Oryctolagus cuniculus: one gene and its partner. The protein of the gene in region 1 binds, or shares a complex with, the protein of each later gene. Links are inferred from orthologs where the notes say so. Each region holds a gene or a part of one and is shown on either strand. Other genes may lie near its edges.

Region 1 (4,535 bases):
GGCTGCAGGTGCCTAGCTGTCAGAGATGCACACTCGAAGCCATCTGCATTCTTAAATTACAACATCATACGTTCACATACTTTGGTGTTTAATCAAGGAGTACCTTTGAGAACTGGCCCTGTAACATCATTTTCTGAGTTATATACGAATGAGAATCAAAGAATAAGCTGACAGAGTTAGATCTTCAATGTTCAAAGGTACTACTTAAGTCACAGATTTCTTCACCTTGCTCAGCATAAAATTTTAACAAGAAAACCAAAATCGATGGTTGAAACATTCATATTCCCCAATATCCTCTAAAACAATTCCTCAAAGTAGGGCCAGGGGCCCCTGGGTAGTGCAGGATCCTTCCTGGGGTCTGTGAGGTCAACACTATTTTTATAATACTACTAAGCTTTCCCTTCTTCCTCACTTTCATTCCCTCATAACTACACAGTGGGCTTTCCCAGAGGCTATGTGATCTCACAACTGAACGCAGAAGTAGGAACCAGAGTCCAGCTGATCGTCTATGGAGCCAAGCAGGGGCTGGTAGCATGGCCCAGCAGGTTAAGCCACCACTGGCATCCCAGATGGGTGCTGGTTCCAGTCATGGCTGCTCCACTTCCAATCCAGCTCCTTGGGAATGCGCCTGGCAAAGTAGCAGAGAGACTTGGACTCTTCCCACCCACAAGGGAACCCAGATGAAGTTCCAAGCTCCTGTTTTCAGCCTGGCCCAGCCTTGGCTGCTGTAGCCATTTGGGGAATGAACCACCAGTGGATGAAAGATCCGTCTCTCTCTCTCAATCTCTCCCTCTCCTAACTCTGCCTTTCAAACAAGTAAATCTTTTTAAAAAGATGTGCAAAAATATGAAACAATGCTGCTGCTCTTTTATTTTGGGGGAAGATCATTACATATTGGTGGTTTAATGGATTTAGTTTGGGATGAATTAAAGATTTTAGAATTTTAACTTTTTCTTAATTTTTGTTTATTCACTTATTTGAGTGGCAGACAGAACTCCGATCTGCTGGTTCACTCCTCAAATGCCCACAATGGCCAGGGTTGGGCCAGGCCAAAGCCCAGCCACGAACTCCATCCAGGTCTCCCACATGGGTACAAGGACTCAGCTCCTTCAGTACACCCGCTGCTGCCTCCCACAGTACACATCTGCAGGAAGCTGGGGCTGGGAGCACAGCCAGGATTCAAATTCTTTTTTTTTTTTTTTGACAGGCAGAGTGAACAGTGAGAGAGAGAGAGAGAAAGGTCTTCCTTTTCCGTTGGTTCATCTCCAATGAAGATCTGAAGCCAGGAGCCAGGTGCTCCGCCTGGTCTCCCATGCGGGTGCAGGGCCCAAGCACTTGGGCCATCCTCCACTGCCTTCCCAGGCCACAGCAGAGAGCTGGACAGGAAGAGGGGCAACCGGGACAGAATCCGGCGCTCCAACCTGGACTAGAACCCGGGGTGCCGGTGCCGCAGGCCAAATTCACTCTTCAACACGAGACACAGGTGTCTTAACCACTAGGGCAAATACCCATCACAAGTTTTAATTTCTAATGCGGTATCAATAAATGTAAACCATTTAACAAAAACTCTTTGGGAATCAATTTTTAGAGGTTTCAGACACCAAAATATTTGAGAATCACTGCCCTAAAGTATGCTCAGAACATAACAAAGAAGTACTGAGTTTCCCAAAGGGATCATTCTAGTCTCCTAAAATAATAAAGAACCCAAGTGTTAAGTTTTTTCTTCCTGATACTAGAGAAAAGTTCTACAGAGTTACACAGTGATCAAAATCTTTAATTTGGAAAAACTAGTAATACTTTACAAATGAATTTGATAAGCGTATTCTATCTGATGCTGTACACTGGAGATACATACTTCAGAGAAAGATCTACACGGGGGAGACTGTTAAGTACAGTCTAGGGCCAGCACTGTGGCACAGTAGGTTAAGCCACGGCCTGCAATGCCAGCGTCCCATACTGGAACCAGTTCTAGTCCCAGCTGCCTGCTAATGCTCCTGGGAGAGCAGTGGAAGAGGGCCCAAGTGCTTGAGTCCCTGCCATCAATGTGGGAGACTCAGCTGAGGTTCCTGGCTTTGGCCTCCACAGCGCTGGCTGTTGTGGGTATTTGGGGAGTGACCCAGCAGATGGAAGATTTCTCGTTTCGTTGTTCTTTTTTTAAGATACATTTATTTATTTGAAAGGGAGAGTCACAGAGAGGCGAGAGGGGGAGAAGAGGGGAAGGGGGAGGTCTTCCATCCGCTGGTTCACCCTCAAATTGGCTGCAATGGCCGAAGATGTGCCGATCCAAGGCCAGGAGCCTCTTCCAGCTCTCCCATGGGGGTGCAGGGGCCCAAGCACTTGGGCCATCTTCCGCTGCTTTCCCAGGCCACAGCAGAGAGCTGGATCAGAAGTGGAGCAGCTGGGACACAAACCAACACCCAAATGGGATGTCAGCACTGCAGGCGGCGGCCTTAGCCGCTACATCACCCTATAGGACCCTCTTGTTTCTAATTCTGCCTTTCAAATAAACAGATCTTTAAAAAAAACAACAGTTTGACCTTAAGGAAATTTCCTGATACATGAATATCTGATTTGCCCTTTTAAACGACAAACTATTTCATTAATTCTTTTTCATTTGGCACAGAACGCACAGCTCAGCCTTTCTTTGATAGCTCAGCTTCACCATTAGAAACAGCAGCTGTTGTGCTAAACTGAACGTGGTGATTACACCCCCCCCCCCAGCCGAGAGCAGACGCGGGGGGGCAGCCCCCCCCCCCCTTAGGCCGAGGGCACCGGCGGGCGCTCCCCGCTCTCCTGACCTCGGCTCAGGTGCCGTGCGTGCCCTTTCCTCCCATTCCCTGTGCCTCAGGATCACAACACCTGTCACCCACTCCTAGTTTTTGCTTCTTTTGTAACAAATCGACTTTTAAAGGGTTATAACTTCTCTACAGCTACCTGCATGCTGACTTACGTTAGGAGGAAACTCCTGATGCCCGAACAACACTCAAATCGTGGGAACTGTTCACATCTCACCTGACCTGATCACGCCCATCCAGCCAGAAGACGGCAGCGTGTCTTTTCGCCTATTCTAATCCCCACATACACAGACACCAGGCATGCCATCTCAGCGTGCGCTCCACGGCAGAGGAAGCACTGAATGTGGTGACTGACTACCTCTCCCCGCCTCGGCCACGGAAGACGCACTAACCATTTTTACTAAAATTATACAAATACCTCAAATGTGTAGCTTTACCAGTACACTCAGAGTTCTACTAACTATACCAGTTTACAGCTGAGAAAATAAAACTAAGAATTAAAGGGTCCACAACACTGATAAGTAACGGAACAGGATTTAGTTTTTTTTTGGTTGGGTCAAATGCTCCTTCCAGTGGAGCACAGCTTCGACCCCTCAAGCCGGCCCTCTCACAGGGGACAGGGAGCGGCCGGCCCAAGACCACAGCAAGAGCTGCTAGCACATCCCGACGTCCTCACACGAGCGTGCTCCTGTTCCTCTGACGCCTTCCGCTCTTGCCGGGGAAACACTCACCTTCAACATCTTCTTGTTCGCTGTGTTCTTGCCACACTCCCTCCTCAGCTGTTCACTCATGGCTTGCAGCTCTCTTCCAAAGTGGATCATTCTTTCAATGGCAGCCTGACTTCCGCCACATAACTGGCGTCTTAACTGGTTTGAGTCAACTTCTGCAAACCAAACAAAGAAGTGCTTCACTACTTTATGGAATGGAACACACGTAAGAAATGAACACACATTTCTGATCCATTTTAGACCTCCCAGTCAGTAAGCACTCCCCAACATGTCACCTACACACACAGACTCGTGCTCAACCGAGCAGGGAACTCTGCAGCTAATCATCACACTGGATCCAGAGCTCGGGAGTCTGGGATCCAGGGTGCTGCGCGCAGCCCAGAGGCAGGGCTACCCGTGCAGTGTCAGGATGGACCCAGTGTCTCACGAGTGTCACCAAGAGGCAGGGGCCAGTCTCTAAAACCACATGAAGAGGGGCCGGCGCTGTGCCATGGTAGGCTAGGCATCCATCTGTATGCTGCCAGCTCGAATCCCGGCTGCTCCTCTTCTGATCCAGCTCCCTGCTCGTGGTCTAGGAAAGCAGCGGAGGATGGCCCAGGTGCTTGGGCCCCTGCACCCACGTGGGAGATCTGGAGGAAGCTCCTGGCTTCAGATCGGCTCAGCTCCAGCCATTATGGCCATTTGGGGAAGTGGACCAGAGGATAGAAAACCTCTCTGTCTCTCCCTCTCTCTATAACTCTGCCTCTCAAGTAAATAAGTAAATCTTAAAATAAAAATTAAAAAATAAAACCACACTAAGCAAAATTAACAAAGAAAAAGAGAGAAGGTAGTAACTGCCTCTCAGGCTGTTTTAACTGACATATAACAGAGGTGGAGTAAAGTGTTCCTGGAAGCTAAGAGAGGCTAAATGATTCCAATAGAAACACAGATTATTATAACACATTATAATAATCAAAATAACTATCCTGGTTTTAGAAAAGAATTGTGCTATACATCTTGAGTGACAACTATC
Region 2 (4,535 bases), on another chromosome or scaffold:
AAAGGCTGGTGCTACGGCTCACTAGGCTAATCCCCCGCCTTGCGGCACTGGCACACCGGGTTCTAGTCCCGGTCAGGGCGCCAGATTCTGTCCCGGTTGCCCCTCTTCCAGGCCAGCTCTCTGCTGTGGCCCGGGAGTGCAGTGGAGGATGGCCCAAGTGCTTGGGCCGTGCACCCCATGGGAGACCAGGAGAAGCACCTGGCTCCTGCCATCAGATCAGTGCGGTGCACTGGCCATGGCGGCCATTGGAGGGTGAACCAACGGCAAAAAAGGAAGACCTTTTTCTCTCTCTCTTTCTCTCACTGTCCACTCTGCCTGTCCAAAAAAAAAAAAAAAACTATATAACAAGAACTACAACTTAAATCTGTTTTTTATGTAAGATGTTTTCTTAGGAAATTAATACGTGCTGATTTTTAAAGATTTTAAAAAATATAAAAGCAAGAGGAAAAAATACCATCTGTGGTGACAGTACCTACAGCTAAAACAGTGATTGACCTCTGCCTGAGTCGCCTTTGAGATACGTACATACAGACACATACATATACACACTTTTTTTTTCTTTTTTAAAAAAATAGGATCAAAAGATAACGGTTTTGTTTTGTTTTGTCATCATTTACTCAACTTGAAACATAGAAGTGACCCAAAAGAGATCCTGCAGCCGCTGGTTCACTCCCCAAATGACCCCCAGCAGCCAGGCTGGGCCAGGCCGCAGCCAGGAGCCAGGAGCCCCGCCTGGTGCTTGGGCTGCCCTCAGCTACCTCCCAGGCTGCACTGTTAGCAGGGGGCTTGGTCAGAGCTGAAGGCGGGACTAACACTTGGCACTCTGATGCCGGGCAGGGGCGGGGCATCCCAAACAGCAGCCTAGCCCACTGCACCCCAGTGCCCACCCCAGAAGGGTAGATAGAGGTTTGCACGCTATTTCTAGTCTCCTTTTGTGGCTTAGCCAGTTTCTAGCTTAAGGCGCTGGCCCAAACGCCCCTACTGCCGTGGGGGACTGTGCTCCGCCGGCCCTCACCTGGGGCTGGCAGGCTCCCAACTCCTCCGCCTGGCTCTTTGCTCTACGGATTACTTACAGAGGGCTCCTCTTTATTGTTCTTAGCCTGCGTCTGTCTGTGCGGAGGTGCTCTGGGCATGCGTCCCTCCTAGTCCTTTGGCCCATTGCTGGCCGCGCTCACGGGCTGGAGTCCAGTGCTCTGCCCCTGAGTGCAGGGCTGCGGCAGCGGCTGGAGGGTCTGACCCAGGCTCCCTGGCCATTACTGGGCTTTAGCCACCCCATCAGGAGCCAAGGCTGCAGCTGGCAAGGCTGTGACCAGGTGGGCACCCTGGGCGCCCGCAGCCAGCTCAGACACCAGGGCCCATCACCATCCTCTTTTTGCTTCCAGGGCAAGTTTCTGGCTTTTTACCAGTACGCAAAATCATTTAATTCAGATGACTTCGATTATGAAGAGCTGAAGAATGGAGATTATGTCTTTATGCGATGGAAGGTGAGTTCCCCCTCCCCCAGCCCGTGATCTCTGATGCCTCCTGTGGGCCAGCGCTGGTATTGCACCCCACACGCCTGCTCTGCCCCAGGGCGTGCTCTGGTGGAGTGCTGGGTCTCCCATGGCTCTGGTTAGTGGTTGGCTGGTGAACGGTCCTGGGTGCACGTGCTGACACTGTTGCATCTTCATCCTCCCCTGCTCTCACCCCAGGAATCCCTTTGAGCCTGCAGGCTGAATCACCCACGTGCACTGTAGATTTGGGGTGGAGCCAGACGTTTCTCTGAGTGTAGTCACCCATTGGACCGCCTTAATGCCATCGGAGTGACTGCTCCCCCCCCCCCCCCCCCGGCCTCGCCACATCCTTTCCCCGGGGCCCTCTGCTCCCCTCCAGCTCAGGAAGTGAGGGACCAGGAATGGAATGTGGGTTTTCCACTCAGCCGCCCTCGGAGCGCTCCGTGTCGGCGCGGCCGTCGCCTGAGAAGTGGCTCTGTGCCCCCTGCCTGGGTAAGCGCGGTCAAGGCTGGGAAGCAAGCTTGTGAAGCTGCACGCAGCTCCCGCTCCTCCTGCTCCCGACCGGGGGGGAACTCGGAGGCCTCACCAGCTCTCGGGCCTGCACCTCAACCAGGGTCCTCATGCACGCCTCCTCTGGGAGAGGGCAGGAGCGTCACTCAGGCCGTCCGTGTTGCCGGGCACAGAGTCCATGCCCAGCCTGCCCCTGTCTAGTGGGACGTGTGCCCGCTGAACCTGTTCAGGGAAGTTTCTTGTGCTCATTTTAAGAACAATTTTTGAAAACTACAATTTTTAGAGGCTGAATAGGGAGGGAGCTGAGGGTCTTAGAATTTTTAAATGGCAATGGAATTGTTCTGTGTCCGAAGGATTTCTTAGGATGACCGACCTGTGGGCCGTGGGCCGTTAACAGCCCCCCCTCCCCCCCCCCCCCGAGGCCTGGGGCCTCCAGCCTTTCTGTCCAAGAGAGCAGGAACCGGGACACAGGCTTTCTGCTGGGCTCCGGCCGGAAACCCACACTCGCCTCTTCTGGAGTGCCCAGAGAGGGTGTCCGCAGGGCTGCTGGCAACCCAGCCACCCTGAGAATAAGCTGCAGGCCCGCAGGTGATGGGAACCTGGCCCTTCCAGGCCGTTCCGTCCGTGCTCTCTGAAGACAGCGGGCAGGCGCTGGTGTTCCCAGTGTTTGGTACTTGTTTGTTTTAAGGTTGTTTATTCGAAAGGCAGAGCTACAGAGAGAGAGAGCTCTTCCACCCACTGGCTCACTCCCCAGTGGCTGCAGCAGGCAGGGCTGGGCCAGCCTGAATGCCGGAGCCCGGAGCCCTATCCGGGTCTCCCACATGGGTGGCAGGGGCCCAGGCCTCAGGCCATCCTCTGGCGACTCCCCAGGCACATTAGCAGGGGACAGGAGACGGTACCCTTTGAGTGGCTGATTCGCGTGAACTCGCGGTGCAGCTTGCCGCCAGAGACCACGTGCTCGTGTTTTTTCTCTTGCGTGTGTTCAGAGCGCCCCGGTGCTGAGCAGGGCGGCACCGGGAGCGGCAGAGGACGCTGCTTGCTAACGGCCCGGCCTTTGTCTGCCTGCAGGAGCAGTTCCTGGTCCCAGACCACACGATCAAAGACATCAGCGGTGCTTCCTTTGCCGGCTTCTACTACATCTGCTTTCAGAAGTCGGCTGCCTCCATAGAGGGCTACTACTACCATCGGAGCTCAGAATGGTGAGGCCCCATGGGCCGGGGGTTCCCGCTGGAGGTTGGCTGACCCCCTCACCCCTCCCCCACCCCCAGCTCTCCCCGGCTCATCAAACCCAAAGGAAAAATCTCGGCCCGTGTCTGCGTAGGCTTTGCACTTTATCTGCATGTCGCAGGCCTGTCGCCGTGACCTCAGGGGCTCCTAACGGGCTCGTCCCTCCGCACAGAGCAGAGCAGGCAGGACCGAGAGGCAGAGTCGGGGGAAGGGACTCGTCTCCGACCCCCTGCTGGATGTCCAGCAGGGCTCCGCTCGCTCTCGCTGGCTCCTGTTCTCACTCTTCCCAGGTTGAATTTGTAACTAAGATGTGCTCTAAGCCGGTGTGGGCAGCAGGAAGGGGGTGCCAGCCGCCTCTGTAATTCTGCAGCTCTGTTTTGGGACGTGGGTCCTGCACGCCCCTGCTGTCATGTGAGGCCCTGGTTGACAGCCTCCCCTGTGTCTCAGCCAGGGAAAAGGACAGAGCCCTGAAGTGCTGACCTTTGCCACCTTTTGGGAGACCTTGGTAGCCTCCCTGCTGCACTTTTTTTTTTTTTAAATTGATTGATTGATTTGCAAGGCAGAGTTACAGAGAGGCAGAGGCAGAGGCAGAGAGAGAGAGGGGTCTTCTATCTGCTGGTTCACTCCCCAAATGGCCACAGCGGCAGGAGCTGGGCCAATCAAGAGCCAGGGGCCTCTTCTGGGTGCAGGGGCCCAAGGACTTGGCCCATCTTCCACTGTTTTCCCAGGCCATAGCAGAGAGCTGGATCAGAAGAGGAGCAGCCGGGTCTCGAACCGGCGCCCATATGGGATGCTGGCACTGCAGGCGGTGGCTTTACCCACTACACCACAGCACCAGCCCCCTTCTTGCTGTACTTTCAAGCACCTAGCTGTCCCTAGGGATTGAACCCCTATCCTGAAGCACCTGAAACGTGTGTTGATCCCTTGAGTCGAGTCCCTGAGAGGGCTGTGGTTTCAATGTGAGAAAACACTGCATTTCTCAGCGTAGCCCGTGGTCCCTGGGAACACACTTCGAACTTAACAGAGACTGTGTCCTAAGTTTTGGGTCATACACATGGCCCCCAGCTTGAGGTGAACTTGCCAGAAAAGGGAAATTAACACAGTGCCAGGGGCCTGGTCTTCGTGTCGACGTCACGAACCCAGCGCTACAAGGCTTCTCCCGTTAGCAAGTAGCACTTAACAAAGCGCACCCACGGCCCGAGGTGCACTTGCCGCGAGGCTGAGGGTGGGGGCGCTTTCTCACCCTTCAGGGCCTCCTCTCGATCTCCATGCTCGGCGGCAGCCAGGTCGCACCTGCGAGTAATG

The links.
Region 2: the proteins of RANBP9 (region 1) and glucose-induced degradation protein 4 homolog are in contact, whole or in part, in a cryo-EM structure (PDB 7NSC), measured with the Homo sapiens proteins. The link is inferred for Oryctolagus cuniculus from reciprocal best matches to the Homo sapiens genes RANBP9 and GID4. Residues at the interface, in NP_005484.2 of Homo sapiens: Ser223, Lys224, Gly225, Arg226, Asp227, Gly228, Tyr229, Met230, Gly256, Asp257, Thr274, Phe275, Thr276, Thr277; in NP_076957.3 of Homo sapiens: Leu187, Arg189, Asp194, Glu195, Asn216, Asp218.

What each region holds. Positions count from the first base shown.
Region 1 is NC_091436.1:157,009,335-157,013,869, reverse strand, and holds part of RANBP9 (ran-binding protein 9), read right to left. Parts: intron 3,679-4,535; coding exon 3,527-3,678; intron 1-3,526. UniProt on the Homo sapiens protein: May act as scaffolding protein, and as adapter protein to couple membrane receptors to intracellular signaling pathways. Acts as a mediator of cell spreading and actin cytoskeleton rearrangement.
Region 2 is NC_091448.1:66,462,820-66,467,354, reverse strand, and holds part of glucose-induced degradation protein 4 homolog, read left to right. Parts: intron 1-1,382; coding exon 1,383-1,484; intron 1,485-3,071; coding exon 3,072-3,202; intron 3,203-4,535.